2 linked regions of the Astyanax mexicanus genome follow. The protein of the gene in region 1 purifies or fractionates together with the protein of each later gene. This does not show direct contact. Links are inferred from orthologs where the notes say so. Each region holds a gene or a part of one and is shown on either strand. Other genes may lie near its edges. The genes, in order: pam16 and dnajc19.

Region 1 (16,236 bases):
ATCTGAGGAAGCTGAATATGACACCGACCCGGCAGGGTCCACACGGTTAACCCTTTGAGCACTGAGGGACATTAGGAGCTCGGACAGAGCGAAGATGAAGATGATTGTTATTATTATAGATTAGCAATAACTGATCTCAGCGTGACGGAGTGTCACGGTTATGCAGTAAATGATAAAAATGCAGTAAAACACAGCGTCACTGAGAGGCAGCGAATCTACGGTACAGTCTGCGCTCTGACGTGACGACGCTCTTCATTCTCGCTTCAGAAAAATCCGAACAAAACCAAACGGGAACGGGAAGCTGAATGTGCCGCAGCGGTGCACAAAGGGTTAATGTATGACTTTGGCCAGGAAAGGCCGGTATCAGTTTTTTTCTTGTTGCACATTGAAATATTTTATCAGTATTTCCTTTTTGCCAAGTGCCTTTTTATTGTAGGTGAAATGTAGAAATACAAATACAGTATATGAAAAATAAATATATATATTTTTTCCGAGCGTTATGTTCTGAAGCCGAACATGCAGAATTTTAGAGTCGTAAAAGTCTCCAACTGGTACAACATAGGCGTGTGCTCCTGTTTTAGAGGAATTTTATTACGATATTGATAATGATGTCAATGAAAACGAAAGAAGCAAATGTTTAATAAAGCTGTATTTGATATATTATTCATTTAATTTCTCTGAGTCTTATTTTCTTCAGGATACTGCCTCTATAAACATGCAAATCAAGTGCAAAAAAAAAATCCATCCATGCATTTCCTGTGAGTCAGCTGATGCTCTCCTTATTGTGAAGGCCAGCAGACTTTGTCTGAGGGAGGAATCTATACCTACTCCTACTGTCTGTGTCAAGTCAGCAGATGAGGGAGATGTGAGTACTTTTAAATAATGAGTTTTGTGCTTCTATCAGTGCAGTTAAGCATGAATTAGCTTTTTTAACTTGTGGTAAACTCTCAGCATATACATGCTTATTTACATAAAAGTGACAGAGCCCTTAAACAGCTCATTCTGAAAGGCACTAAAACTGGTAAGAATAAAGCTGGTAAGATCTTTATCTTTATGTGAGAGTGATTTTGTGAGAAGAAATTCAATTAAATCATAGACCTACAGTATTCTAACTTACACAAAAAAAGGTTTAATAATGTCGCCTTTAAGAATGTTGAAAACCCTGTAAACTAACAATTAACTGAGGCATTTTTTTAAAAAAGTACATAGTGATTTATAATGTTTTAACTTTTGCAAATTAGTTGAGATATTCTCAAGTCGTAAGTAATGTTAATTAATGTACTGTTATTGTAAAATGTTAGCAAAAAATCTTGTCTTAAAGATTCCCTTAAGCACCTTAAAGGATTCATCCACAAGCCATCAAACCAAGCTGATCTGCTTGAATTTTTGCACCAGGAGTAAAGATATAAAGTTATCCAAAAGCAGTGTGTAAGACTGGTGGAGGAGAACATGATGCCAAGATGCATGAAAACTGTGATTAAAACCAGGGTTATTCCACCAAATATTGATTTCTAAACTCTTAAAATTTATGAATATGAACTTGTTTTCTTTGCATTATTTGAGGTCTGAAAGCTCTGCATCTATTTTTGTTATTTCAGCCATTTCTCATTTTCTGTAAATAAATGCTCTAAATCAGTATTTTTATTTGTAATTTGGGAGAAATGTTGTCTGTAGTTTATAGAATAAAACAACAATGTTTATTTTATTAAAACCTAGAATATTTATAATTCCCAACAGAATCTACAGGAGCTTTCCTCTTAAATTTATGTTATAAAGAACGGAGGCTGTAATAAAGCAAAAAATATTATTGTAATAAATCACTCAGTGAAGGTAAATTTGTTTTACACCATGAATAAACAGATTAGACTTTATTGAAACCAGCAGAATATTTACATTTGGGGGAAAAAACAGAAAATAAGAGGCGAGAGGTGAGACTCAGGTGTGTTCCTGCTGTTTTTGCTGTGGTGGATCGTTCTTCTGAATTTGAAGCTCTTCGTCCAATCGCTCCTTTGCCCTCACAACCTGAAAAACCCAGATCAGACACGCTCAGTGATTGGACACCAAAATACTACAGAAAATACACTCTAATAAACACTGGTTTTACTGATTATACAGGGATTACCTTCTGAAGTCAGTGTGGGTAAATAAGGGTATATAACCACAATATACTGATCAAACATAACATTATGACCAGCTCCTTTTTGTCCTTTTGACCAGGACACTTTGTGACAGCTTTATTTCCTATAAACTAATAAGTATAAATGTATATTTATACATTTAAATGTTTAATTGAGCTTCATAACACTGTCTAGTGTGCACCATGTAGGCTAAAAAAAAAAAACTTTTCCAATTAAATTGTATTAATTATATAAATATATACATTTTCAGAAGCCACCAGAGAACCCAACAATGTCAGCAACCTTTCTCCACGCTGTATTACGCTGATCAGAGTCGCTGTAAATCAGCAGAGATTGATCATAAAGGACAGGAAAGCCCAAATTTTCAGTAACGAGTAATCTAACGAGTTACTATTTCCAATAAAGTAACACATTTATCACTTATCCAAGTCACTGTGCATTACTATTTTTGTTATTTATCTTGGTAAAAAGATATATTTTTGCTTTCTTCTATCTCAAGGAGCAACATCTTTCCTATGCAACAATTACTGTAAGTCATGTTTTCAGCATGAGATAAACTCACGTGTAAAACCACTAAACGACAGTACAATTACACATACAGACAGTAAAATTAGATTTTTTTTTTTTTAATGTATTTTATCTATACATAAAAATGACAATATGAAGGTTGTTCACTCTGTGCTGGTGATCTATCTTCAAAAAGTTGCAGCACAGCACAGAAAAACTTACAGAGCAAGTGAGTTTTGGCAGAACTGAGGGAATGTAATGAATGTATCTAATAAAGTAACTTGTAATCAAACTTAATTACTTTTTTAAAAGTCAAGTAATCAATAAAGTAACTACATAAAGTAACTTTTTAAAGGGGTAATCAGATTCAACCTTTTTCTACTATGGTTACTAAAGGAATGCAATTGCTGATAGTGGTGTATGAGGTGTAAGTGTGTGTTGCTCTGGTACAGCAGTGCTGCTGGAGTTTTTAAACACTGTGTTTAATCACTCACTGTCCTCCTTTCTATTACACACTCCTACCTACTACAGCTGCTCCATCTTGTAGATAAAGTAAAGTCAGAGACAGAAGCTCTGAATCTGTAGTTAAACGTTCCAAATGTTCAAATGGTCATAATGTTATGCTGATCTGTGTATCTCATAATCATAATGATAATAATGATGATGATGATGCTCACCTTGGACTGCAGATAGAACGAGCCTCCCACTTCTTTGTCGTTCACTTTAAATAAGTGCTCGTAATTCTGTAGAGAATATGAAAGATGATCTGACTTTAGTACACTAATAAAAATGTGTGTATGAAGAGCACATGTGTGTATCAGTGTGTTTACAGTGTTTTTACCTTCTGGATCTCCTCCGGGGTCAGCGTGGAGATGTTCAGGATCTGCTGGGCTTCCTGGACGGTCATCCCGGTGAAGCTGGACGCTGCGGCCGACTGCGCCCCCGCCTTCCCTCGGGCTTCTGCTGCAGCCTGACTCGCTGTGACACAGTGCACATGTTTAATAATGTTTATATATGATTTAGTAGTTAAAGAATCCTGATAGGCTAGATTCATACACCTTATTTACATAAAAACATGTATACCTTGCTTGTTTATGCAGTGGTTTGTAAAAGTATTCATACCTCTTGAACTTTTTCACATTTTGTCACCTTACAACCACAAACTTAAATGTATTTTATTGAGATTTTAAGTGGTAGACAAACACAAAGAGGCACATATGTGTGAAATGAAACAAAAATTATACACGGTTTACCTTTTTATGAAATAAAAATCTGAAAAATGTGACGTGCAAAAGTATTCAATTAATATCCAGGGCAACCAATTGCATTCAGAAGTCTTAATAATAATAATAATAATAATAATAATGGTAATAATAAAATATACCAGCCCTTTTTCAAATGCTTAAAAACAGAACATACATATTTGACCATATTTTGATCAAAAGTTTACTTGGTAAAGTCAACATAAAATAAAATAGTCCAAACAAAGTAATACATTGATGTTCTTGATATTTTCAACATCTTTTCATTAATTAGAAAGGGGAAATGCCACCCAAATAAAATAAATAAAGTATTTTGCCTTCAGTAAGAGACTGCAGCTGTTTGACGCAGAAAAAATAGTCGGGGTTAAATTTTATTGCCAAGCAGTTTGGAGCTCACCTGCAAATTCCTGACGTAAAGCTCTCGCAAATGCCCGGCCCACCACCTGCGCACCCACCACTATAATCTGGGCCAGGTACTTTGCCTGCATACAAAACAATCAGTCACAAAAACACAGGTAAAATATTGCTTTTAGCTGCAAAATCAAATACAAACAAATATTTAAATACTCCAACAGTCAAAAGGTTTTAACTGTAAGCCATCACACACACATTTACTCATTTATTATTGCTGTAGTAAATCACACTTAAACTCAGAAGCCATTGCTTTATACAGCTCTGGATAAAACAATTAACAGACCACTTAAAACTGATACGTTTCTTTGATTTTCCAAATTAAAAACCAAAAGCAAGATGGATGATCACAAGCCATCAAACCAAACTGAACTGCTTGAATTTTTGCACCAGGAGTAAAGCAGCATAAAGTTATCCAAAAGCAGTGTGTAAGACTGGTGGAGGAGAAGAACATGATGCCAAGATGCATGAAAACTGTGGTTAAAAAAACAGGGTTATTGCACCAAATATTGATTTCTGAACTCTTAAAACATATGAATATGAACAGCCATTTCTCATTTTCTGCAAATAAATGCTCTTGTTGTCTGTAGTTTATAGAATAAAACAACAATGTCTCTCAAACATATACCTATAAATAGCAAAATCAGAGATTCAGAATTCAACTGATTCAGAAACTGAAGTGCTCTCTTATTTTTTCCAGAGCTGTATATAACATGATATATAATGTTGTAAAAAAAACTTACCCATTATAAAAAAATGAATTAAATTAAATCTCTGTGAGGTTGAGCAGTATTTATTGGGTTTATTTGGGTTAACACTGATATATGTACCTCAAAAATGTCAAATAACTCCAACACTGAACTATATTTAAATCTGAAAGAGTTAAAATTACACTTCAACTCTAATAATAATAATATTAAGTGCAGGACTTTCCTCTATTTCAGCTTTAGCTCAAACAGTTCAAACAGTTAAGGTGAGCTGCTGTAATCACCTGTGACACCTGTGTTTATATTGATTTTAAACATATCTAGATATGTGTGGACGAGCCTGAACACATACTGTGTCTTTGGGGACTATCATTATAATTACTAGTTCAACATTTTAATGATATTTGATTTTAAGAACATGTTCATCAGAACTAAAAACTAAAACCTTCTTAAAACTATGGTAAAACAGTCTCTCAAACAACAGGCAGTGTATCCATAACCTTTTGCTGAAATAACTCTTTATATAAGATTTGTAACTATATATTTATATATTTTATTTACTTCTAGAAACGTGTGCTTATCTAGAAAATCAGACTTCACCTATTGTAGTACATTTTCCTACATTAAACCAGGAGTTTTCTAATATATATGACACATTCAGGCTGTTAAAATTAATACTATAGTGTCTTAAAGTATATTTCTACACTAAAACAGCAATATTGATCAGATAAATGAGTAAATAATCAGTGTAATGATGATTAAAGGTCTGATATAATCCTGTAGTTCAGCAGAAAATGACTGCAGGACAGCAGATTAACCCGTTTCTGTGTATTTATATCCTGATTAAACTGAAGCAGTGTGTAATTATGATGTAATATCGTTAATACTCACCATATCTGAGCCTCGCGCTTCTCCTGAAAATTAGAAATATGATCAGATTCTCAGTTATATTATTATTATCATCACACGCGCTTCCATCAAGGTGAAGAAACACACCAACCACAGAAGAAGAGCCAAGTTTACCCCTCAGCGCTTTACAGCACTACACCCCCCTACTGTTCAGTACCGCACACTGCAGCTTTTTACACCACTAAATTGCTAATTTACCATTCCACCTTAAATGCTGCTAATCCACCTTAAATGCTGATTTTTTTTACAATTCCACCTTAAATGTTGCCATTTACCTAAATGCTGCTGTTTTTTCCATTCCACCCTAAATGCTGCTAATTTACAACTCCACCTTAAATGCATCCAATTTACCATTGCAACTAAAAAGCTGCTAATTTACCATGCCCCCTTAAAGGTTGCCAAGTTGCCCATCCGTCTTAAAGGCTGCTCAAATCCTAATTTACCACTCCACCTTAAATGCTGCTCATTTACCATTCCACCTCAAATGCTGCTAATCTGCCATTCCGCCTTAAATGCTGCCAGTTTGCTTTTCCGCCTAAAATGCTACTAATTTACCATGCCACCTTAAATGCTGGCAATTTACCATTCCCTGTTTAATGCTGTCAGTTTGCTATCCCGCCTTAAATGCTGCTAATTTAACATTGCGCCATAAATTCTGCTTCCTATTTAAAGATTCCACCTTAAATGCTGCTGATTTACCGTTGCACCTGTGTGCCGACACACTTCAGGGTTTAGATGCGTTTTTAGGCTTTTAAGGTGGAACACAACAATTCAAATCCAGAAAAGTTAGGTGGGTCGTTTATCATATCGGCACAACATAAGCAAAAATGTTTAAAATTCATAGAACATCTACTACAGATCAATGAGATTTAAGGTGGAAGGAAAAGTTGTGAAGAATAAACTAAAAGCTTTGTATGCGTTTAACATTGTATAAACACCCACAATTATTTCTCATTGTATAATTCACACCATGCCCCCTTAACGATTCTACCTATCATCTTGCTCAATAACTCTCACCCAATCAGAAGGTAGAGAATTAATTAGCTCTGTAGGTGCAATCACCTGTACCTCTAGCCAGACAGATTCTCTAGTGCTCGGGTTATTACCTAGCTTTTTAGCCGCTCATTTGATTTGGAGTGCGTGCGGTCATACGTAAGTAATATTTATCATTTTCTTGATGTTTAATGTTTGAGAAATGTTTGAGAAATGTTTAAATGATGTTTGAAGGCTAAACATTTATATAAGTGGGTCTTAGTTCTTTGTTTGTCCACCTGAGGGTGACAACTGTTAATTTGTGTATGTTTGGTAGCGTATTGCTGACGGCTAACCGCTAGAGGGAGCTCCCGAGTGAGTCCTCAATGAATAGGAGTCAATGGAGCTAAACGGCTAAAAACACACTTTAAAATAGTGTTTAACTAAATCTGCAGGATTTTCCTTTCATTTTAGAAAGTAGAATAAAGTATGTTGCTAAAAACTATCATAACGTACCTATATATGATAGAGTTTTTCTATAGTAAACTGATTTTATGTAGTAAAGGCGCTAGCATTACTGCTACTGTGATCTGATTGGTTGGTGAGCTAATAGCGTAGTTTCACCCATAGCATGTTTTTTTTTAAAAAGCTTTATAACTGGAGTTTGAAAGGTTAAATAATATGTCTGCAGTAAAGAAACATTTTATATTGATCTGTATTGAGTAAATGAGCAATTTTTAGTATATAAATTAGTGTGGTTTTATGGAAATATATTTATTTTGTATAATTTTTTATACTACTGTTATTTGGGCTGGTGATGGAAAATAATAGCCTACGTATCTATATATTAAGAGGGAAACGAACCAAATTAAAGTGAACTAGTCAATTTTAAATAATAGGAACTAAACTGACTAGTTTGTTTTAAGTGTGAACTGGCACAACACTGCTGACTGTGCTGTAACCTTTATTTTATATATTCCACTAAGCTAGTTCTGTATACATTTATTTACAGAACCATACAATTTATTAAAGCACTGCGCATTTATTCCAGTTTCTGTGGGTTGATTTACACCCAGTGCTCAACCAGAGCTGTTTATATAGAGACTATCCACTTTTTATTTCCCCCTTTATATAAGTAAATTACTGCTAACCGCTAGAGGGAGCCCGCGAGTGAGTCCAAAATGAATGGGTGTAAATGGGGCTAAACGGCTAAAAATACACATTAAAAATAGTGTCTGACTACATATTCATGATATTACTTTAATATTAGAAAATAGATTATAATATTTAACTAAAAACTTAAAGAAACCTCACCTGTATGTTTTAATTTCTCTACAGTAAACACGATTTAGGCAGTAAATGCGCTAGCAGTAATGCTACTGTGATCTGATTGGCTGATTAGTGGAGTTAAAGCCAGAGCGCTGGGTTTATTACAAGGCTTATAGCTGCACTTTTTTTTTAAAAGTTAAAAACATTGCCTGCAGTTCTGACACATTTGATATTATTTTGTGTGTTTAGTAAATTTTAACATTTTCAAAATAAATATGGAAACTGTACTGTTTCAGTTAAGTATTTTTTTGATAGTTCAAACTTGAAAATAGAATTTTCAGTGGAAAACCTCATTTTTTAGTGAATGAAACATTAATTTTAAATTTTTTAATGTTCTAAACTTCTCTTCTTCCCCTCACAATCAGAATTTTACGAAAAAATATCTAATAATTTAATCCAACCAACTTAAAAAATTGAAAATAAGAGTTCTTTTTTTCTTTGTTTTAATTAAATGTATTTATTTTGTTTGGGGCAGCAATGAAAACAGGGAAAAAAACATGCAACACCAAATGGAAAAAAAAATGAATAATGAAGTTTTACATCTAATTTTCTATTTTTAAGTTTAGCCTTAAATGGTCTGAAAATTTAACTGATAAACGGGACACTAACCAAAAATAATCAAACATTTATAAAGTCTGATTTTGCTCAATTGTTCCATATGAACCCATTCATTTTGGAGTCACATGGAAGCTGCTTTTATACAATTTAAGTTCAATGGATTTTTTTACCATTTCAGGCTCACTGGACCTGAAGAGTTTAAATGGTAAAAAAAAAAGTTTGATTTGTACAATATAATGACACACCCCTATACCACAGTTAAAACAGACTGCACTACAGTGTGAGATACTGGCACTACAATACAGTAAACTACAGTGTTCATATTTGTTGATAACAGTGATGGGAATAATGGCGTTGAAATAAACGGGGGTAAAATAAACTCAATTATATTTAACTACAAGGGGCTTACGGGGACGAGGAACACAAAAGTAATGCAATAGTTACTTTTATAGTGGAGTAACTCAGTTAGTAACTTTTTTGAAGAAGTAACTAGTAACTAATTACGTTTTCAAAGTAACGTGCCCAACACTGGTTGTTAATCATATATGTTTCCATTCTTTTTTAAGGCGTGGGAACAAGATAATTAAGTCGTGATCAGGGTCTGAGCCTCTTGCTGAAGGTGGAGTGTGATGTGAGAGATGTGAGCCAGAGCCTGTGGCCTTCAGAGTCCCCCGAGTCAAAGTAAGTGAACTGAACCCAGAGTTCATTGTAAATTTATTTAAAGACTATATTAAATCTATACAGGAACAAATGCAGAATTATTTAATAAACAAAAAGTGTAAAACAAACCAGAATATGAAGATGGAAATATTCGAGAGAGAGAAAGAGAGAGAGAGAAAGAAAGAAAAGAGTGAGGGTTATTTATAAGATTTAATCCATATAATAATTAATTAATATAAAAATATTAAAAAGTGATCTACTTTTTGAACATTTAAAAAAAAATCAAATATAGCTAAAGAAAGCTAATATTATATAATATAATAAGGACTATAAAAAGTGAATTATAGCAAAAAATATGGTCCAAAATTGGTTATATAATTAATTTATGTAAAAAATATTACAAATTTCAGATTAATAATGTTTTAATGCATAAACATTGCCAGAAGAAAAATACAGTATAATTTATTTTATTCAATGTGTTTTGTATCTTTTTATGATTTAGTTTTACATTGTAAATTTAATATTGAAGACTATATTAAAGCTATACAAGAAAAACATTCAGAATTATTCTGGAAAGAAAAAGTGTTAAAAAAACCCAGATTATTATAGTTTTATACTTTAGATTATTTTAAATAAGTATCACATGTATCTTTGAGGACAGATCTGCAGAATCTTGGTGAGATTTTAATCTCAGTATCTTCATGAGGGAGAGTCACCTGGAATAGTTTTCTCAGCGTCTTGAAGGAAGGAGTTCCTGGAGGTGCTGAACAATAGCTGCTGCTTTTCCTTCACGCTGTGAAGCTCCAGCTCATCACAATTAAATCACCTCAAATCACCATCTCAGTTCATCAGATTTAGATCAGGGGATTAATGTGGAGGAATAACACTTTTATTTTATTTTATTTTTTACTGTTTGCTACGTAATTCTATATGTGTACCTTAACTGTTTTCACGTCTTTAATATTATTAATCTACAATGTAGAAAATACATTAAATAAAGAAATAGAAAAAGACACTGAGTGAACCATATAGAATAGAAAAATAGAAATGACTTTTATAATAAACTGTAATTAAACAAGCAGTTAAAGTCATTTTAACAAACAAAATGATATATGATTAATATATATATATATATATATATATATATATTATTTAAACAAATACATTAAACACTCCAGACGTAATTTGTTTAGTAATTTTTGTTTTATTGCAAGGCAACATTCCCACAGTACAGAGGAGAGGGTACAGTAATGCAGTTATCACTTATCTCCACAGTATAAAAATCACCATCAATCAAAAAACTGAGACATCCCAAAGATCAATCAGAGACAAGATACAAAACACTGATGCTCATCACATTCAGAACAAGACTTCCAGTAATAATTCCCTATTTATTAATAACATGAAGTGTAAAACACTAAGAAGTGCTATTAACTAAATGATCAGTATCCTCCTGTATTATTATTAGTAATAACAGTAACAGCATTAGGTGATAAACATCATTGGCAAGATGATTGGCAGCTGCACTGATCACATACAATACTGTTAAAACTGATTACTGAGAGAGAGAACCCTTTTATTTAATAGAACCCTTTACAGAAGGTTCTAGATATTGTATCTGTTAGAAGTACAGAGATTCCAGTTCTACATCCCATCAAACACCAGACACTAACTACAGCTCAAAAAAGTGGAGTCATTTTACATTAATTTGAATTCTTTTTTTATATTCAGTTTATATTCTACAAATTATAAAAGCCATTGTAGATATTATAACATTTATGTCAGTTGTCACGTCATCTGAATTGTAATTTGTTCACCACTATTAAAATAATGCATACTGATTATTTATTTTAGTAGTATTATTTCATTTTATTGCCTTTTTTAAATTAAGAATATGTTTAATATTCCACAGGTCTGTTTTAGTGTATTTATTTTATTGTTCTACATATAGTTTTAATTTAGTGAGTGTAGAATATTCTACAGGTCTGTTTAATTTTCTGGATTTATTTAAAATGATTTTCATTATTTTAATATAGCCTTATTATTTGATGTTTATAGACCTTTATTTTTGAATTAACATATTGGATATTCCACAGCTCTGTTTAACTTTCAAAATGCATTTTCAAACATTTATTTTATTATATCTTCATTCTTTATTTTATGTTGTAGGTATTTATTTTAGATTTAGTCACTTTAGAACATCAAAATGATTTTATTCAATTTTTTCCAATTTTCTTAAATAAAAAGTCTTATACAATTTTTTTTTTCTTTGAAACAGCCAATTAGAATGGTTTTATTTATGAATAATTTATGTTTTTATATGACTAAAACACATTTAAATGCCTCTAAACATTGATTCCAAACTTTTGAACTGTAGTGAACATCGATCTTAATGAGCTCCAGTTAAAAACAGTAGGAAGACTGATTTGTATTTACACTGATAGTAAGAAAAAATAGCTGTTGTGCACCAAAAACCAGGAGTGTCTGATCTAATCTGGGAAGGGTTTAATTCCAGCCAATCAGAATGTGATTGATTGATCTGCTATGATCAGATGGAATTGATTAATCACTGACTTATTGATTAGAATAAAGACCTGCAGCATATTAGGATCCTTTCTGAATTAGACCAGACAGCAGGGGGCAGTGCACGACTCAGTAGGGGTGGGATAATATATTGATATTTCGATATATTGTATGGTTTTCATTTACGTTACATTATCGATGTGTGTCATCAAATATTAATATATGTTTATTGAAACATAGGAGCTTTAAACTCCCTAACACCCCCCTAATTAGGCATACTTAAAAAGTTTTTAATTAAATCCATAATTACTGGTATTTTTGATTTATTTAGGAGTATTTAATCCTCTTCAGTAACTGAGGCGTTGTGAAGTATCATACAAAATTGTCTTGATATATTTTGAGTATTGCAGAATCACAGTATCACGATATAATTATTGTGATACTGTATCGTGAGATGCCTTGTGATTCCCACCCCTAATGATTAAGTATAGAAAAGAGGTGTATTAATCTATACTACAGCAGATCAGATTTACAGTATAAAATCTGAAATTAATAAGAGTTGTGTGAGGTTTAGGATCAGAGTGCTCGTCTATTAAACACCCGTCTGATTACAGGAGAGTAAATCTGATGCAGGAAGGGTTAATGTTAATGTGACGGATGGAGGAGCCGGGTGGTGGTGGGACTGGAACACTGGTAGGTGGTGAAGAGGTGGAGGTCCTGGAGGTTGGGTTCAGATTGGCACTCAGGCATGGCACAGAGAACAGCAGCACTCCCCTGTATCTACTGGCACCTTTACTCATCATTTACTCCTCTTTTACTCATCCAAAAGGTGAGGAGTTCCTCTAGTCATCCTGAAAACACACACATATGAATTAGTAAGATTCGTAATCTATCAGAACTCAGTATTACTGAGTACAAATACTTTACTAAAGTAGAAATGTTGGTTTTCTATACTGTATTTGTCACACTATAAAGTGCACTTAAAATCCTTTTAATTTTTTCTAAAAAATCTTCAGTGCACCTTATAATCCGGTGCTCCTTATGTATAAATTTTACCAGTCAGGTATTAAGGAGCAGTAAAGCCACTCCACTAAAGTACAGAGTTATACAGCAGTTTTAGTAAAGTTTCTCCAGCACCAAGACTGGAGCAGCATTAGCTGCTTAACCATGGTAAACGCTAGCTCTTTCTTCATTCAGAGTTGACTGTGTATAGCTGGACAGAGCATCGTCTCTCAAAAGTGAAGCCACCACAGGTCGGGCGCCCCCTGCTGTTCGGTTGCAGAAAGCTGTGTAACCCCACCCATCCTCATAGGTTTCAATGGCAAAACAGAACAACTTTCAATCACGTTTTTTTCCAATATACTGTAATGCTACCTCCATTATTTAAATGCAACAGCTAGTGTAACCTTATATTGTAAATATTATTGTAAATGTTTTTAAAAACGTTATTCAGCTCTATTCAAAAAAGGTGTGGTTATTGTAAAAGGGCTGGTTAGGGGCGGGACCAATAACAGGCCGTCAGCCCTGCTCCGCAGCCTGTGACCTCGAGGCAGCTCTCAGGGGCCGGATTATTTAAATGAGTAGGAGCTCTCCACAGTATTTCTCCCTCCTCTGGTCTCTACTGCGCAGACTCCGGTATCAGAATCGGCAACATGGCGGAAGATTTTGGCTTCATTTTCATTGAAAGAATGGGAACGGCGACACAGCGTCCATCTTTTTTTACAGTCTCTGGTTTACCATGTTAAAACAAGCTACGTGGGATGAACCGCTAGCTGCTAGCGCCCTGACTTTACCGGAACACAGGGTTCCTCAGTGTAGCGCTGTCGGGCGGCATTTACTAGTGCTAGCGGTTAGCCATTAATGCTAATTCCGCTGCACCCAGCCTTAGTGGAAATCTAAGCATACTGTAAATTTACTACACTAAACAAACTACAATAATGAAGTTTTACACCCAGTTTTTAGTTTTTGCCTTAAGCCTTATAGTACTATCAGAAAATGTAACTGATTTCAGGTTCGCCCCACAGCAGAATAAGTGTAACAGACTCACAGGGCATTGCACAGCTTAAATCTCAATAGCCCCTGAAGTGCCCTTGTCTTGTCACTCATGTACAGTAAAAATGCATTAAAACAAAATGGTAATGAGATTTTTATGGAGTTAATTTTGTGTGAAACGTTTTTTGCACAAAAACATAAAATCGTCAAGCAAAAAAAAGAAAAAAGAAAAAAAAAATATCACAGAAGCAAAAGCCTTTTGCAACAAAATCCACAAAAAATCAAAGACTGGCAAAATCCATGCATGACTAATTTACAAATAACTGCAAACTGTTTTCTGTTTTAAATTTGCAACATACACTTTTTGATTTTTAAAGTTTCTGATTGCAGATTTATTTATTTTTTTACTTTTGCCACAAAAATAACTCCATAGATTTTACTGTGTAATATTATAAATAAAATACTATTAAAGTGTATGAACATGGTGTGACTGGTGAAATAATACTTGGCCCCTCTATGAATATTACGGCTCCTTACTCTGGAAAAATCCCAGATCTGCCACTGTTTCAAACCAAACTCACCCACTCCTCGTCGTCCACGCCCTCGTACAGCTCCTGCGGCAGCGGGTCCTCACGGTTCCCCAGCTTAGCCACCATAGCACTCAGAAGCTACAGCAGATACAACAAGAACAGGTTTGAGAAGAACCAGAACAGAGTCCGGTCCAAACAGACAGAACATCTCTCAGCTGTTAAACACACCTCCTCTTTCTTCTGCTCGTCGCTCTTCTCCTCCAGGTAAACAGACGAGGGGAGGTACTTCCTCACAGGAGCCTCTTTAGGAGCTTCGCTCACTGAACAATGAGCAAAACATTAGGAACAGAGAAAACGCAGCAGACATTAAGGCCCAATCTCATTTCACCCCTTGGCTCTACAACTTACCCCTACCCATCTGTTTGGCTGGTACACGCCAAGAGTTGGGGTGTCCTTATACTTGTTAGGTTGGAGGGGTAGGTTAGGGAAAAAGATAGGACTTGTTATCCCTTTCAATGGAGATTTTTTTAGATGCACACTTCAAACAGAGGAGTATGAGAATCACTTTTGGCCAAAGAAAACCACAAATGTAACCTAAGTATTTTTCTTTGTTAAAAGTGACTATTAGCACTATATTACCATAATTTAATGTGTAGTTTTAACGTTTTATGGACAAATTCTTCACAACAAGCATAAAAAAGATCGCTATTAGTTTCTTAGTAGCTAACTAGCTAAATTATGCAACAATATGGTGCAACAGATGGCAGGGGCTGCAGCATTTAAGGCGGAACAGAAAAAAAAATAAAATAAATAAAAGCTAATCAAAGCTAATTTCAGCTCCCCGTCACAGAGGAATTAAGAAATGGACAATAATTATTCATTTCTGCACCATCTCTCTTTCTCAAGACATACAATAAAATACGCCCTAAAGTTAACTAGTTAAGCAGCAGCAGCAGCAGCTCGGTTACTGAACTTGAGCGCTCCTGATGACGTATCGGGTGCTCTGTTTTAAATGGAAGGGTTGCACTCAAAAAGAAGCAGTAGTGGTAGGTTGTAGTGCCAAGGGGTGAAATGGGATTGGGCCCAAGAATGAAACACTGTGTGGTGCTGCAGTACCTGGGGTCATGTCTTTGGGTCGCAGGCTGATCTTGCGGTGCTGCCCGTTAGAACCAGAGAGCCAAGCTTTAGCTGTCAAAACCGACTCCCACCAAACCGCCGTCTCCGGGAACACGTCATCCTGGAAGAACTCTTTCTGCACATAGAACCACACAAACAACATCACTAACACTGTTCTGGACACCAGCATCTCTATAAGAACACACTGGATGGTAATCACTCCCTATATACTTCTGTTCGGTACAGGAGTTCCCAAACTTTAGCAATTTATGCGGTTCCAATTAATATAGCCTCTAGTAATATAATACAGGAAATTGACAAATCCTGCCCCTAACAGCTGGGGTTATGCATAGGGCTCAGCCAGGATCTACTACTCACTCAACTAACAACAATAGCAAAACCACCACAATCTGATACTGGCTCGACAAGAATCCAGAAGCACAGCCTAACACTATGTTCATGGTCCATTGCCTCAACTGCCAAGTAACAGACCTACCAAAAAATAACCTATGAACAAACAGAATCCCTCCTTAATCAAAGCTCACTTCCTTTAACTATGGCAACAACACACCTACCTAAGCACAATCACACACAATAAATCACATTATAAGTTGCGTGAGCA
Region 2 (15,443 bases), on another chromosome or scaffold:
ACATGCCATTGCAGTTGCATTTGGGATATGTGGATGTTTTTAGGATACTTAAATAGTATTCATAACGGTATGCTGTAAATATTCTACAAGTTTTACATGTGGATTTTACACTAGAATGCTTAAGCTGAGTTTTATTAGGCTATTTAGTGCAGCGCTCCAAGGCTCTGTAAACTGCAGTGGTCTTTGGCTCCTTCCCAAATGCACTCTTTGTAAAAGCTGAATGGAGGTTATGAAGTGAATCTGTTAGGGTCTCTATGTTACTGCTGTGTGGAGTAACTGAACGGGGGGGCCTTTCCCTGTTATAGATGACTCTGAGGCTAAACCGCAGCGGCGTAATCGTAGTCGCCGCCGCCGCTTCCGCCCTCCAGAGGAGAGGCAGCCAGGTAACGGGTGGACAAGGGTTCGAGTGTATTGATATGCATGGCTTAAAACAAACTGAATCTAACCACAGCCCCAACGCATCCAAATCGGGAATCCGCAAGTCTGTCAGTTTGGCTGAGAGGAAATTAAGCAAACACTTTAATATAAGATGTATACCACAATACAATAATTTGAGTCAATTTGTTGATGTAATGTCATAAATTCAGCTCAGCGAAGTCACCCCACCACTCATGCTAAAGGATTATTTCAGCTTGGACTTCTTTGCTCATTTTATTTTCATGAACGCAATTCAGGGCAGCTAATCAGAAGAGAACATATAATTAACATGTTTAAACACACAATCAAAAAAAAGCTATAAAGAGAGGTTAAAGAACATAGCCATGTAAAATGAACTAATTTTTATACAATGCACTAATTCCAGTTAAACAGTTTAACAGCTTATAAGAGAGAAGTTGTCACTCTTTATTGAGAGCTTGAGTGGCATCCACAACATTACATGGATTAAAATGTAACTGTTTAAACTGTCTTTTGTGTTCTTAATGACATTCTTATGGTGTGTCCTATTTGTGGATTAATCTACTAACAATACTTGCTATGTTATGGGTTGAAATATTAGACAGGTGTGAAGAGTACCTGCCTTGTGCACCATTAATGTCAACTGAATAGGTTGAGCTAATTTCTGACCTTTTCATTACAGCATGCTTTCCGTAATTGTTTGTTCTTAGTGTTCTGTAGACGTTGATCATTATTCATTTATTTTTTGTAGTTACTGTGGCTGATTACATATCACGAGCTGAATCGGAAAGCAGGCAGAGAACACCGAGAGATCTGAAGAAGAATAAGAAAGATATGGTAAGTCACCATAGCCAAATATTAGTTTTTTCACTCACCTCACTTGCTTTCACAGTGAAAGGATTTCCTCCAGCCTCACATGAGAACTCTCCTTTTTTCCTCATCCACAGGGGCAGGTGGAGAGCATAGCAGAGCACAGTGTCTCTAATGCGGTGAGCAACGGCCCCAGCGCCAATGGAGACGAGCAGAAAAAAGCAGCACGAGCTTCCACAGAGAAAAACACCCCCAATACCTCCGGTGAGGGGGAAAAGCCTGCTGTTAATGGACTCTCCTAAGCAGTTTGCTCTATTCTTTTTCTTGTTTTACTTTTTTCAGAAAAAGTCATAACCTTTACATTTTTACAATAGTGCTTGTACAAGCTTGCCAAAGATAGACATACGGACTTCCAGATTTTCTACTGCACTTTTCCGTTCCTTCACCATGGAACAGGTAGGAGGGGAGGAAAGATAAAAAAAAAAAAAAAAAAAAACACAAAGACAAAAAAGACGAGCCCTGAAGAGACGAAACCTGAAACTTGATTCACATCTAAGTAAGTTTAAAACATGATCAGATGTTGTGCCTTCAGAGAGTAGATTCACCCGTAAAGTGGCCGGCTGTAGGGAAAATAAGGTAATAAAATGGGAAGATCCCAGATATCTGAATTTTGAAGAGAAGAGAGTTAGCTGCATTTTGTTTTAATATGCAACCACTTCATACATCAAGGAGGGGAAGGAAATTTAGTAAACCCAGTCTGGAAAAGAGGATGTTATTGCACTGAACTGTAATTCCTTTCCCTTAAGAATAATGTTCTAACTGGTCTGTTTGTTCATTTTAAATGGTGTATGGAAAAACACTCCATGTGACTATCGGAAAGATCAAATTTGTTCTGATTCATCACCTGTCAGGCTGTAACAATGATGACAGTGACTGTTTAGCAAACAGAGCCTTGTTTTGGTTTATTTATTTTTAAATGTACAGTATTTAAAAGAAGAAAAACAAAAACAAAAGCAGTTATTCTTTTAACACTAAACTGGCTGCCTGAACGTATTTGCACGCAGGTGACAATTTGGACTACTGAAAGAACGACTTCCAGATTTTCTGTTCTGTAAACTACGTTTGAGTCCTTATTTCTTTCTTTTATTTCTTTTTTAATGATCATTCTGGTTGTTTGATGTGCAATATGTTTTGTATGCAGTTAGTTCTTGAATAAAAGTTTGATCTTCCAGTCATTTCTTCTTAGTCATTTGTGATCTGTGAGAGTTTTAAAATGAAATGAAACGTGTGGTACAATAAATGATTTTAATGGTCAGAGAACTCAAGTGTATCAGACAGGGCTCGATCAGTGAATGTGTGAAACTATTTCTTGGCTTGTCCATCAAGTAGATCTTTAGCTTCATTTATTTTTGCTGCAAGATATGGAGATCCACCTGCCAAAAAACAGAAAGAAAGATTCCTCAGTTGACTGTGTACGGTCTGCACAAAACAAGCCACAGTGATAATTGCAGTTAATTTAAAGTTTTGTTAAATTCACAATTCCATTACAAAACAATGGAAAAAATGTTTTGTAACATCAAGGGCACATATCGAATGGATATGTTTTCAAGGAGGTTGAAATTTTCCTCAATTTTCCCTCAATTCAGCTGACAAAGAGTTCCCACCAACTAGTTTGGACACCCCATCACATGATCCCACCATACTTGGAGGGTGAAGGCTAATGCACCCCTCCTCCAAGACTTGTGAGGCACGACTTTGCTGCTTATGACAACAGTTTAAGCCCCAGTCATTCAATCTAAAGTTATAAGGAGTGTTTAAGTCAAGACTGCTTTGAAATAAGACACCAATAGGGCAACCAATCAGAATGGAGTTCATTTACATAGCAGTTCTAAAGTCATATTAACAGAAATTGTGCCTAAAATAACAGCTACAGCTTAGCTAATAGATGACCTACAAATTTGCTGACATTATCATATGTGTCTGGTCTTACTGAACATTTAGAAATTCTTACCTCGGTCTGGATGATTTAAAATCATTAGCTTTCTGTGAGCTTCTCTAATCTTGTTTTTGTTGGCAGTGGGGCTGGGGTAGACAAAAATAAACAAATTCAGTATTGACAATTTTGGCGCAAACTACACAGAAATCACATCATCTGATTCATACCTGACTCCGAGAATTAGAGATGCTTCTCTCTTCGTCATCTTTGGTTCAAACCCTCCTCTGTAGTAGCCGCTTCCAAACGCCTGAAACAGAAGTTCAATCATCACTCACTGATTTAAAGACTCACTGAGTCTAGACTTGTTTTATATGAATCCTCTTCTTAACGAAACTGAATGTCACTATAATTATTTTAGTTTATCTCTATTGTTTTTATAAAAATCAGGAATGATTTATGATCTTATTATTATTTTTTATTATTTAAATAGTTTAAAATTTATAAATTATAAAAATATAAATAATTTATCAACATGACAATTAAACAAAATTCACTGTCAAAACATTTACTTGAGATCGTGAATTTCCATTACCATGACATAATGAACATTGTTTTCTTGAGATTTAGTATTTTATAATGCACATCATGTTTTTTATTAACATTTTTCTTAAGCTCTTAGGAACAGATTCCCAAGAACAATACCATTTTAGTGAAATGTACAATATTAAGAAAACAGCATTCTAATATGCTGTAATAATTGATCTCAAGAAAACATTAAAAAATGTCCAAATCCAATATTCTTTAGGGCTTCCAAAAAAAATCACTTTTTGAATTTGGGTTTTACATTTCCATTTCAGAATCGGATAACATCTGTAAAATCCGTTTCTTAGCTCTCTTCAACACCTGATCCAGGAACAGAGTGACTTACAGTTTTGGGAAAAGCCTGAAGAGCTTGTTTAACTTGGGGCTCCATCTGCTTCATGGCTCGCACTGCGTAGCGGCCTGTGGAAAAGAGTCGCAAGAAATGCAGATGCACTTTGCATTAATGGTGACAAAAATATCCTGAGTCCTTATTTTGTAATGAGGTGAAGGTTTCAGCAGGTTTAGCTTTAATACTCTTAAATTCTCCCAAACCTGCAAATCCTGCTGCTGCCAAAGCAATGCCCACGGCCACCATGGTGCTGGCCTGCAAAAGAAGAGAGACAAACAATACGGCTTGATTACACCGTCTCATTAATGAAGGAGCAATTTGCATAATTTCCCCAAACACATATGACAGTTCTCATCACAGCAATGAGAAAATTCAGCTCATCTCATTTAAAACCCATCTACCTGAATCTGGACCGTAGCAGTGTTTTAATCACATACAGAGAACTTTGTATCCAGTTCGTTGCCAGGTATAAAAAGGTTTAGTAGAGCCTTCACCCATAGGATTTTCAGAAACATATGGATAATTCACCATTTGAGTTACACGCAACACAAATATAATTACTTTATATGGATAGTTTTATATGTAATGTTTTAATGGTATAATGGTGGAATTCTAAAACAATTTATTGTTTTTTTTTATAGGAGTATTATAGTGTATTCAAAAAGTATGTCTAGAACAGAACCAAAGCCCACTTTGAATAACTGTGTATGTTTCTAAATCATAAGAATCAATTATAATTCAAACTATGACATTTTAATATTAATTAGTAAGTAATTGATGGCTAAATACAACATATCACCACGTTTAACTTGCAGAAACTCCTCTGATATAGAATCTTCCTTAGATAATGACAGGGAAAAAATATATATATTTTTCAAACGTTTCACTGCATAACAGTATCAGCGCATGTTTCAATTATTACAAAATGTTTTATTATTTTTATTTTTGTTCTCTTTTTTCTTATAAAATCACACCAAACATATGATTAAAGTATATATAAAGTATATGTTAACCAGACAAATTAACACAATTGTATAACCAAAATAAAGCTTTTTTATATACAAAAAACACCAAAAAAACCACCAAAAAAATTACATTAATAGAGTATCGGCTAAAACTTAAAATCTGTATTATTGGTGACACATATAGTGGTATTATCTGTTAATATGACATATTGCTGTGAGATAAATTTGATTGCATTAAGCCTGTTGGAGGATCTGCTTCGACACTCCACCTCATCCCAAAGCTATTTGACTGAGCTCTATAACTTCAGAGAACACATTGTTACTGTTGATCAGCCCAATTTACTCAATACAAGGGACATATAATTAAGGTGGAGTGACAGAACTAATCCTCCACCCTGAATCTGACCGCATTTAAAAACTATGATCAGAATGTACCTCTGATAATGATGATAATACAATTCAACATCATGGTGTTTTCCAAGTGTACCACAGCATTACAGTATCAGCCCAAATCTGAATTTGCATTAATAATGTGAGAGATCTAACACAGACAGAGTAGTGAGATCTCTGCTAATAATGGTGTTATTCCGTTTTCTCCTTATAAAAATCACACATTTTTAAATCTAAAGCACCTAGATAAAGTTATTCACGTAAGTTAATTTGCCTAATTCACTAAATGGTATCTGATAAAACTAAGCGTAAGTATAAAGGGTAGTATTATTGTTGTGCGACACTGATACAGATTATAGATCAGTTTGACAAACTGCTGTAAGTAGAATTTGACTGCATTAAGCCCCACAAGAGCATCAGGGATACTGATGTTAGAAGATCTGTTCTGACACTGCACCTCATCATAAAGCTACTTACGCTCTGTCATTCAGACATTTCAATCTATTACTCACTACAAAAGGTGTCTGGACACCTTTGGACATACAGTTTTGGGAAAATATGAGACCACTTTAAAATGACCAAATTAAAAACCTCTGGAATATAATCAATAGGAAGATGGATGATCACAAACCATCAAACCAAACTGAACTGCTTGAATTTTTGCACCAGGAGTGCAGGCATAAAGTTATCCAAAAGCAGTGTGTAAGACTGGTGCAGGTGAACATACCAAAATGCATGAAAACTGTGACTTAAAACCAGGGTTATTCCACAAAATATTGATTTCTGAACTGTACAATGTACAATATGAACTTGTTTTCTTTGTATTATTTAAAGTATAAAAGCTCTGCGTCTTTTTTTTCTTATTTTATTTATGTTATCATTTTCTGCAAATGAATTCTCTAAATGACAATATTTTTATTTGGAGTTTGGAAAAAAATGTCTGTAGTTTATGGAATAAAACAATGTTGATTTTACTCAAACATCTACCTATAAATAGCAAAATCAGAGAAACTGATTCAGAAACTAAACTGGTCTCTTAATTTTTTTTTCCCAGAGCTGTATAACTGAGTTATGGTGGCAGAAGTAATCCTTTACTAGAACCTGTCCTGAAACATGCTTTCTCTTCAGTGTAGCTGAAGGCAAATTAAATCCTCCTCACAGTTCATAGATGGTCCAACATCCAGTCTGAAAAATGCCTTTACGGAAGAGTAATGGTCACAACTGCAGCAGCGAATGGGAGATAAATCCTATTATTTCTGTTGATTTTAGACTTTTGGTAGGATTTGACCTTGGAGATTATAATGGAAAACCTGGTAAACTTGTACAGCAGCTTTAACGTTTTAACGTGCAGCACAAAACACTTTAAACTTAATGACAACCTTTTTATAAAATGACAATAAACGTTTATAAAAACATGTATATTAGGTTTATAAAGGAGAATAGTTATATACTGAGAAATTGACTCGTTATTTCATAAAATTTAACAGAATTAAACGATTCATTGGCGCTGTATAATAGTTTTATACTATATAATGACCTTAAAATGACAAAAGGAGCTACAAAAACAAGGTTAGCGCCGTTTTTTGGAAATTTTCTTTCCACCTTAAAAAGTGCAGCAGATACAGTCAGGTGCCAGAGCGCCAGAGTGCAGCTGCTGGTCCATTTAAGGTGGAAATGGAAAGATCTCCTTCCACGGGCTAAGCTAAAGCTAACAGCTCACGTGTGCAATAACAATAATGCACAAAGAAGGCTGCCTACCATTTTCCCAACTTAGTTGGTCTCCTCCCCGCGGCGTGGAGCATTAATATTAGCTTTAATTATCAGATAGATTCCATAATCCGATAATAATGGCGCGATTTCAGACTTTTTGCACTGGTGTTTTGTGCCTGCCGCAAAATGCACCGCGCTGTCGTGAAAGGGGAGGCTAATCCGTGACGTCAGACGCTCCGTTTAAGCTGAGTGTTTGTAAAACAATATTAGTCGTTAAAATCCAGATTTACACTTTAAAACGCGATTTTTCTTGGCTAAAATTAAGAGCCGACATATAAAGCTACCAAACCAAGCTACACACAATGTATTGAAGACGAGGAATGGAAAATATGTAAGTATTACCTCTGCCAATTTTAGTTAATTATGTTAACGTTAATTATTTTACTAGCAAAGGCCACAGAAACCACACATTTCCTCTTGTTTTTAAAATATATCAGAGAAATGTTATAAGTAAACACTTATAAAAAAACTCTACAGTCTGTATATTAAAGGTTAAAAAGAGTTTGTTATACATTCCCTGCCACAAACTGACACAAACACAAAGTTATTTAAACATTGTATAGTAAATATTTATATTATGTTTGGGCAGTGACTTATATATTTAACTGAACTTTAACTAAAGGGCGGGTTTAGGCAACTCTAGAAAACAGTACGTTATTTTATAACTTTGAAGGGGAATAATGAGGAATTGTGTGTGTGCTATGTGCGTTTTATGTTTCCAAGATATTATTAACAAGCTATTTAAGTGGTGCTGGTGCTGTGTATATGGACTAGCGTAGTTAGATAGATAATTACAGGGACATTCTGCAGCTTTTCAAAAATATTTTCTGTATAATTCTATGTTAAAGAAGTAAACAAAGACATTCAGAGTGGGTTTGGTGTGAAATTCTGTGTTTCTGAGAAACATGAATGGGATGCCTAAGGAGTTGAATGCCTCTAAAAGTTCTCTCACAGAAAAAAGTTATTATTCTAAATGTTTTTTAGAAAGAAAAAAAAATATATATTATATTATATTATATTATATTATATTATATATACATAAATATTATATAGATATAAAACTATATCTCTCTCTCTCTCTCTCTCTCTCTCTCTCTCTCTCTCTATATATATATATATATATATATATATATATATATATATATAAAAAAGAGACCACTTTAGTTTTTAAATCAGTTTCTTTGATTTTGCTATTTATAGATATATGTTTGAGTAAAATAAACATTGTTGTTTTATTCTATAAACTGCGGAATACATTTCCTCCAAATTCCAACAAAAATGGTAATTTAGAGCATTTATTTGCAGAAAATGAGAAATGGCTGAAATAACAAAAAAGATGCAGAGCTTTTAGACCTCAAATAATGCAAAGAAAACAAGTTCATATTAATTAAGTTTTAAGAGTTCAGGAATCAATATTTGGTGGAGGAACCCTGATTTTAAATCACAGTTTTCATGCATCTTGACATGTTCTCCTCCACCAGTTTTAAACACTGCTTTTGTATAACTTTGTCACTCCTGGTGCAAGCAGCTCAGCTTGGTTTGATAGCTTGTGATCATCCATCTTCCTCTTGATTATATTCCAGAGGTTTTCAATAGGGTAAAACAAAGAAAAAACATCATCATTAAGAGGTCTTCTATTTGTTTCAAAGCTGTATATATATAGTTTATATGTATATATAGGTTAGTACAATGAACATGTTTAGCTCTTCTATTACTGTATGTTAATGATAAAATGTAAATGTTTTCAAAAAATGCAGTTCTAAAAAAGCAGTAATAAACCATAATTTAATTTGTGCTTAATAATTTAATGGTTATATTACGTTTGTTCATATGTATATTTTGGCATGCGAGAAAAGGAATGGTGGTTCTTTTGAGAAAGCATGTTATTGTACTTACTGCATGCTTACAGCACTTGTTGGCTTCATTCAAGTGCTCTGTGCTCTCTTAACACAGGAGAAGCCCAGGGAGGTGACTGAAATGGCTACTAACACAGTTCATGGTAGGTTAGACCACCAATTCACACACTACCCGAACCTGAATTATTGTATATTTTGTGTAGATCCAAACTACTCTGAATTACTTTGTTTACACCCCAGCCATTGAATTATGCTTTGTAAAATTTTAGAATACTGTTGGAATTCCCCGTTGTAATTCTTACCTGCTTTATTGAAGGGTGTCTACAGAGAGATAATATACTACTAGTTAATTTCTAACTAAGTATATAAGTTAGTAGTATTTATTTTCCAATGCATAAACCTATACAAACAACCTTACTTTGATTCAGAGCCAGTTTAGAGAACACAGGGTTCTTCCCATTGGACTGAATCTCACCCACTCACTGACTGGATGAAGGTCCTAATTACTGCCCCTTCGTTTGCATAATTACAATGTGTTTATCCTCCCCTATTTTTTTAGAAGGATAGAAATGATAAACTGTAGTAAAACTGGCTGCAGTCAGTGGAAGTCAGGTTTAATGATAAATGTGTCCTCTATAGAGGCAGGCAGGCAGGCTGGAGTTTGAAAAGGATTTAAAAAAAACGCCAACTGTGTGTGCAGAAATTAGAGTTTTTGCCCCTAAATCATATGGAATTACAGTGCTGGGTGCATGTGGTGAGCCTCAGCACAAAAAGCCCAGAGGAAGCAGCTATTTCTGTTGGTTTTATTAAACCAACCAAGCAATTTAATTCTTTTGTTCAGGAGAGTTCTACTTCATTGATTAACAAAAGCAGGGATATAATTTTTTCAGCCTTTTTGAAAAGCCTGAAATGTCAAGCCTTTTAAAGCAGATTATTCTGCCTGTGTGCGGTGAATGCAGCCGGAGTAACCTTTTGTCTACAATTAAATATTCCGGCATAAATATAAAAGAAAATCAGAGATGGGGAAGATTGACTCACGAGAGATTGGCGAGGTAGATCCTCGCACTGATAGTGCAAACAGCTTGCTTCTAATTAAATATGCCACAGAGTCTCTAAGCATTTGCTTTCTGCCGCAGAGAGAGGAAGCAGCCTAAGAATGAGAGGAAGAAATATATCACCCCATCTCTGTGGCCACCCCAGCCTTTCCTCTGGGCATCTAAAGGTATTTCGGGAGCTTTTTTTGATGCTTTGTTTTCTTCTGGCTGGATAATTGTTTGTTGATATTATTGTTATTTTTTTTATTATTTATAAAAGGCTATGCCTGGAGGGGGTATCTACATATGAATAGAGGGCAAAAAGGGAAAGTTGTGGTCTGTTTTAGATTCAGACTTAATAATTGAGCATTATGATGAGGCACTTTAGAGACAGATGTGTTTACCTCGTGCAGAGCCTTTTCACACTGGCTGACACTTCTCTCACACTGTGTTTGGCGGTTGTTTGCTGAGACCTGCTCTAGTTTTGGCTCTCTTGCGTCTGACGCTGAGTGCCGGAGCTGGTGGCTGTAGGTGGAATGTGACATTGTGCGGTGTCACAGCATACTAATCACAGCTGATTGGTTACAGTATTGTTGTTAAGTTATGGAATTCGTCATTTTCTCTAATGACGTGGGGTTAATGGGACATGTGTAGGTTGTACATGTTCACAGACTCACTGTAAAATGACCTTTTGGAGAGGGAAATTATCTTAAAGCTTCTCAGTGAGGTTTAGTCACAGTTACATCTTTGTCTGTAAGACTTTGATGAGTGTAGTCAGGTTGCTTGTAGATGTTTTTGCTTCTTTTAAACACATTTAATTCAACTAAAAAGTCAAGTTATATTATAGTTATATTATAGTAGAAATATTTACAAAAGGTAGAATAATCTTATAATATGCTCACAACATGCTCTGAATGAAAAATACTACATACATTTTTTTAGAGCGCAGTGTAGTTGTATTGTATTATTCTATCCACAAGTTGTATTGTATTATTCTGTCCACAAGTTTGTTTTAGCAATGTTTTTGGACTGTGAGAAAATACATTTACTTTATAGATTTTAACAGTTTTGCAAATCATAACTTTATAAATCAGTCCTTTATAAGTTTGAATGAGTAAAATACTTTTACACTACACTCTTATAAAATAATCATGCTAAAGCACATTTTTGGTTGCTTTACAGTCATTTCATTGGCTTATGAAGATCAAGTGATGTGAATAGGATGTGTGAAGTGTGAGGGAGTACTAGTTTACTAGTTATAAAAGAACTATAAATTCAGGCCAGACATTAAGTTTATTGAGTGTTATTATGTCTTAATGTGTTTTTAGCAGCTGTTTTATTTCTGTGTAAGGCTTAGCTTCTGTTTCTTTAAAGCTATGTTAATGTATGCATGAGCATTTGGTGGTTGTCACAGTAAAGTGCACATGTTGGGTTAACTGAGTAACAACTTGTGAAGCTGTACAATCTGACTTAGTTCTTCCTAACTTATTCTAGAGAAAGACAAAGTCATGAATCACCACATGTCTTGTTGTGTTTAAGATGTTGAAGGTTTGAATGTACATAAACTAAACCTCTAGTGTGAGTTAGTAACTGACTGCCTATTTATTACTTATTTACTTTGCTGTGTTTCTGTCAAAGTTCCTGATTAATAAACTGTTAGCAAGCCATGTAGCATCTTGCAGATGTTTTAAATTGAGCAGGGTGGAGATCTCACATCACATTTATATGTTTGCTAAAATATGTATTATTTAATATTTGGCAGAACTGAAACTTGACTAATATACACTGTGACCTGAGTTGGACACTTCTTTCAGAGACTTTTAAGCTATTCTTATATCTTTACACAACCAGTTCATTTACCATGTAAGTATAGAGCAATTTTAGATCAGTACCTTAAAATGAACAAATACATTTTTTTAAATATGTGAATATAGTGGTGTGCAAAGATTTTGGCTGTTCAAATGATTCCATGTATATAAGTATATATAATTTAATAATAATACAAATATAGCCTTTTAAATGTGCATGTTTTTTCCTTTTCTGCAGTGCAGTATTACATTTCTTACAGAAATAGAACATAAAACCATGAATCACTTAAATATGATTAATGACTTTGCAAAAAAACAGCAAGTCTCATTAGTCAAGAGAGGTTTAAAAAGGTGAAATTAGCGAAAATGTAAGTGCAGTAAAATGTGTAATACATGTACTGCTGTATGCACCTCCAGGTTTTGGTGGTTCCCTCTTAAAACAGCTAAAGCCATTGGCAAGCGGACATTGGCTGAATGTTGGGGCCCTCTCTCCCCCTGCGCTGCTCTTAAATCTGACATTATGCTGAATTTGGGTTTCAGGAAATAAGACTGCAAGGTTTGCAAAAAGGAAACAAGAATTATTTAATCAAATTGGCCCCTTCCACATCCAGATTTCTCTGCTGCGGCATAATGCACCTCGGTAATCCTTTTATCAAGCGCTCCGATGAAGTGGGCTTATTCCAACCACATTAGAAATATATAAATATATTTAAGGTCATTCTATCTCTAGTTTATTTCTAGCCAAAGTCTGCCACCTCATTTTTTTACCACAGGAGCCAATAATTACCTGTGCTTTGGCGCTGAGGTGTGTGTTGATAAATGGCACATGGTTAAAGCTGGCTTTAATCAGTATTTTCACAGGTTTCTCCTCATTTCTCTGAATCATGTGGGACATTTTGAGTGTTGTTGTGTTGATGTTGTGTTAACTGCTGGTAAGGTTCTGCATGCTCCTCTGAGTGGGATATTTTTACCCGTGTCATCTTGTAATTATCTCATCGTATGGCTGATGCCCTTTGCTTTAGTTTTTTATGGTGCAACATACACCGTGGGGTCGAGTGCGTCTCAGAAAACAGTGACTTATATTTAGCTCTTGTAAAAATAATTTACTGAGCAAAAGTTGAAAATAATTACCTAGACACTGTCTATGTTATGTCTAATTTGCTTTAAGGGTGATCAGGTGATGAATTATAACTAATAGGCTGATTGTATTGATGGGCGTTTATGCATTATGTGTTTGGCATTTTAATAAACAATTACAGTTTTTTTTTTTTATCTCAGTTTACATATGGGAAAAATCAAAAGTATGATTTGTGAAGATTGAATATGTTATCTGTTAGGTTTTATTTTCCCTAATATAATACATTTAGTAAATAAATAAAAAGTGTGTCTTAAAGGTGCTGGAAATGTTTGCTTCCTGTAGGGAATTTGCTTATTTATTTATATATAAAATCAACAGTACAATATTTTACAAAACAGCAAATTTCAAACATTTAATTGAGGTTTCTGAGTGTATATATATTTTTATATTAATGAATTATTTACGTTTATTACATTTATAACTGGACTGCTATTGTTTTAGCAATGGCCCAAAGAACTGATTTTATCTATTTCAAGCTTTTCTCAGCTATTACATTTAACAAGTTAAGTGTAGCTACTGTAAATTGCTTTAAGTCAGGACAGTAGAGTTATTAAAATGTCAGAGAAGTTCACAGAGAAGATCAGCACCCAAACCTGTGTTCTTCAAACTGTTAGCATTCTCCAAGGGGCAACCCAGCATTGCTAGTTACACTCCAGCACTTTATTTAACCAGTCCTTAATTAAATTCAATTTGATGAGCTGCTGGTGGAGCTGAACAAATTCATATAGTGCCTGGAGTTCACAGAGGAGATAAACACCCTAACCTGTGTTATTATAGCTGTGCTCAGTTAGCCAACATAGCAGTAACTTTACTGACCAACAGCACATTCTGCCTGAGAGGAACTCACACTAGGTACATTTACATGCAGCATGAAAATCTGTTAATAAACTGACTAATAGAATAAATTGAAACAGACTAGTCCAGTTCAGGCCATTCCTACGCTTTCTATATGATTGAACAAGGTGGCTAATCCTTTAAATAATCCATTAAATAGAATAATAATAGCCATGTAAACACCTGTATCTAATTAAGTTTAAGTATGTTCTTGAAATGTAAAGTTGCATAAAATCATCAATGACTGCTGCCACTATATATTCCATCAGTACAACTACGTACCACCAGTCTTTACTGCACACAATGGAAATTAGCTTATAAGCCTTGAAGTGTTGTTGGGCATGACCATTTTTACTTTGCCCCTTTTTAATAAGTGAATGTGACATTTTAAATCTGCATTTTCAGCACCAACTGAAAATACAGGCAATATGCTGAAAATGCTCCTCATTTTCTGACTTGACACAGGTAATGTTTTTGTCATAGTATCATGTACACTAATTCTGCATTCTCACTACTAGATAAAAAGTCTCTTGTGGGTATGTTTGAGGCCTCTTGTGTGTCACATGCAGGGATGCATTTACTGAGCTTTGGATTACTTTCCTCCACACAATTTTTCCTGTTTGTGTGCAAAAGAAGAAGAAACAGTGCTTATGAGCCTCACTTTCATAAGTATACTTTTCAAAATACTGATATTGGAATATTTTGTATAATTTTGGCACCAATTAAATTAAATCAGATTAATAGAGTAAACATGCGGTGAGCGATATTGATTGTCAAGTTCTGTGAATCTGACAGCAATATATCCATAATTTCTCTTTAGTAACACAGATGCCGTGAAGCATTGTAAAGAATTTTCCTGCATCTATCGAGTATCAAAGAATCACGTATTCTGCAGTATCTCTGATGTCAACATTATCGTGGGCAACATATTGGTATAATATTGCATTGTGAGATGCCCTGTGATTCCCACCCCTGTTTAGAACCACACAATTTAGAATAGGATTGAAATGTGTAGGAACCAAAAGCTCAGGAAGCAAAGGCTGAGGCCGAGTTTATGATTGGTCTAGAATGTCTCTTTATTGCATCATAATTCTTTAGCATAAAGTTTAAAAAAGTTCATGTTTGATTTTGCTGCCATGTTGCTTGTCAGTTGTAGATAAATCACAGATACAAAACACATACTTATATAGGAAATTACTTGTCACTCGTCACTTTGTCGTCTGATAGTGTAAATGCAAGTTAATTGTAGCGTGCGTGTACACAAAGGTGTTTGTGTTTGCTCTTCTCAACAGTTTGATTGAAAATCTTGATCTATAGAGTATTGATCTCTAATTGGAATTAATTGAATTGAATTGAATCATTTATTTGCTTGTAAACATGACCAGTGAGAGCAAGCTACTAGCTAGGCTAAAATACAGGTTGCAAACATGCTGAAATTAGTTTTACACATTGTTCCAACTTCAAATTAAACAACTCATTTTTGGGAAACAGGCTGGTGTTTGCTGTTCTACTTTTTGGTTTTAAATTAATGTAAAGTGTTTCACACAGCAGCCTCTTGTGAGTAATCAGATTCAT

The links.
Region 2: the proteins of pam16 (region 1) and dnajc19 purify together in Homo sapiens (affinity purification with mass spectrometry; 3 studies listed by BioGRID and IntAct, with this or other methods). This does not show direct contact. The link is inferred for Astyanax mexicanus from reciprocal best matches to the Homo sapiens genes PAM16 and DNAJC19.

Annotation. Positions count from the first base shown.
Region 1 is NC_064426.1:40,095,883-40,112,118, forward strand, and holds pam16 (mitochondrial import inner membrane translocase subunit tim16), read right to left. Parts: upstream 6,063-16,236; 5' UTR 5,920-6,062; coding exon 5,917-5,919; intron 4,390-5,916; coding exon 4,305-4,389; intron 3,624-4,304; coding exon 3,487-3,623; intron 3,389-3,486; coding exon 3,323-3,388; intron 2,023-3,322; coding exon 1,936-2,022; 3' UTR 1,836-1,935; downstream 1-1,835. Other genes in the region: coro7 (coronin-7), read right to left, coding at 12,819-12,827, 14,550-14,636, 14,727-14,818, 15,615-15,750. UniProt on the Homo sapiens protein: Regulates ATP-dependent protein translocation into the mitochondrial matrix. Inhibits DNAJC19 stimulation of HSPA9/Mortalin ATPase activity.
Region 2 is NC_064423.1:26,561,017-26,576,459, reverse strand, and holds dnajc19 (mitochondrial import inner membrane translocase subunit TIM14), read right to left. Parts: upstream 7,334-15,443; 5' UTR 7,190-7,333; coding exon 7,187-7,189; intron 4,329-7,186; coding exon 4,277-4,328; intron 4,145-4,276; coding exon 4,071-4,144; intron 3,450-4,070; coding exon 3,370-3,449; intron 3,289-3,369; coding exon 3,218-3,288; intron 2,640-3,217; coding exon 2,569-2,639; 3' UTR 2,498-2,568; downstream 1-2,497. Other genes in the region: fxr1 (fragile X mental retardation syndrome-related protein 1), read left to right, coding at 306-383, 1,148-1,233, 1,344-1,508. UniProt on the Homo sapiens protein: Mitochondrial co-chaperone which forms a complex with prohibitins to regulate cardiolipin remodeling.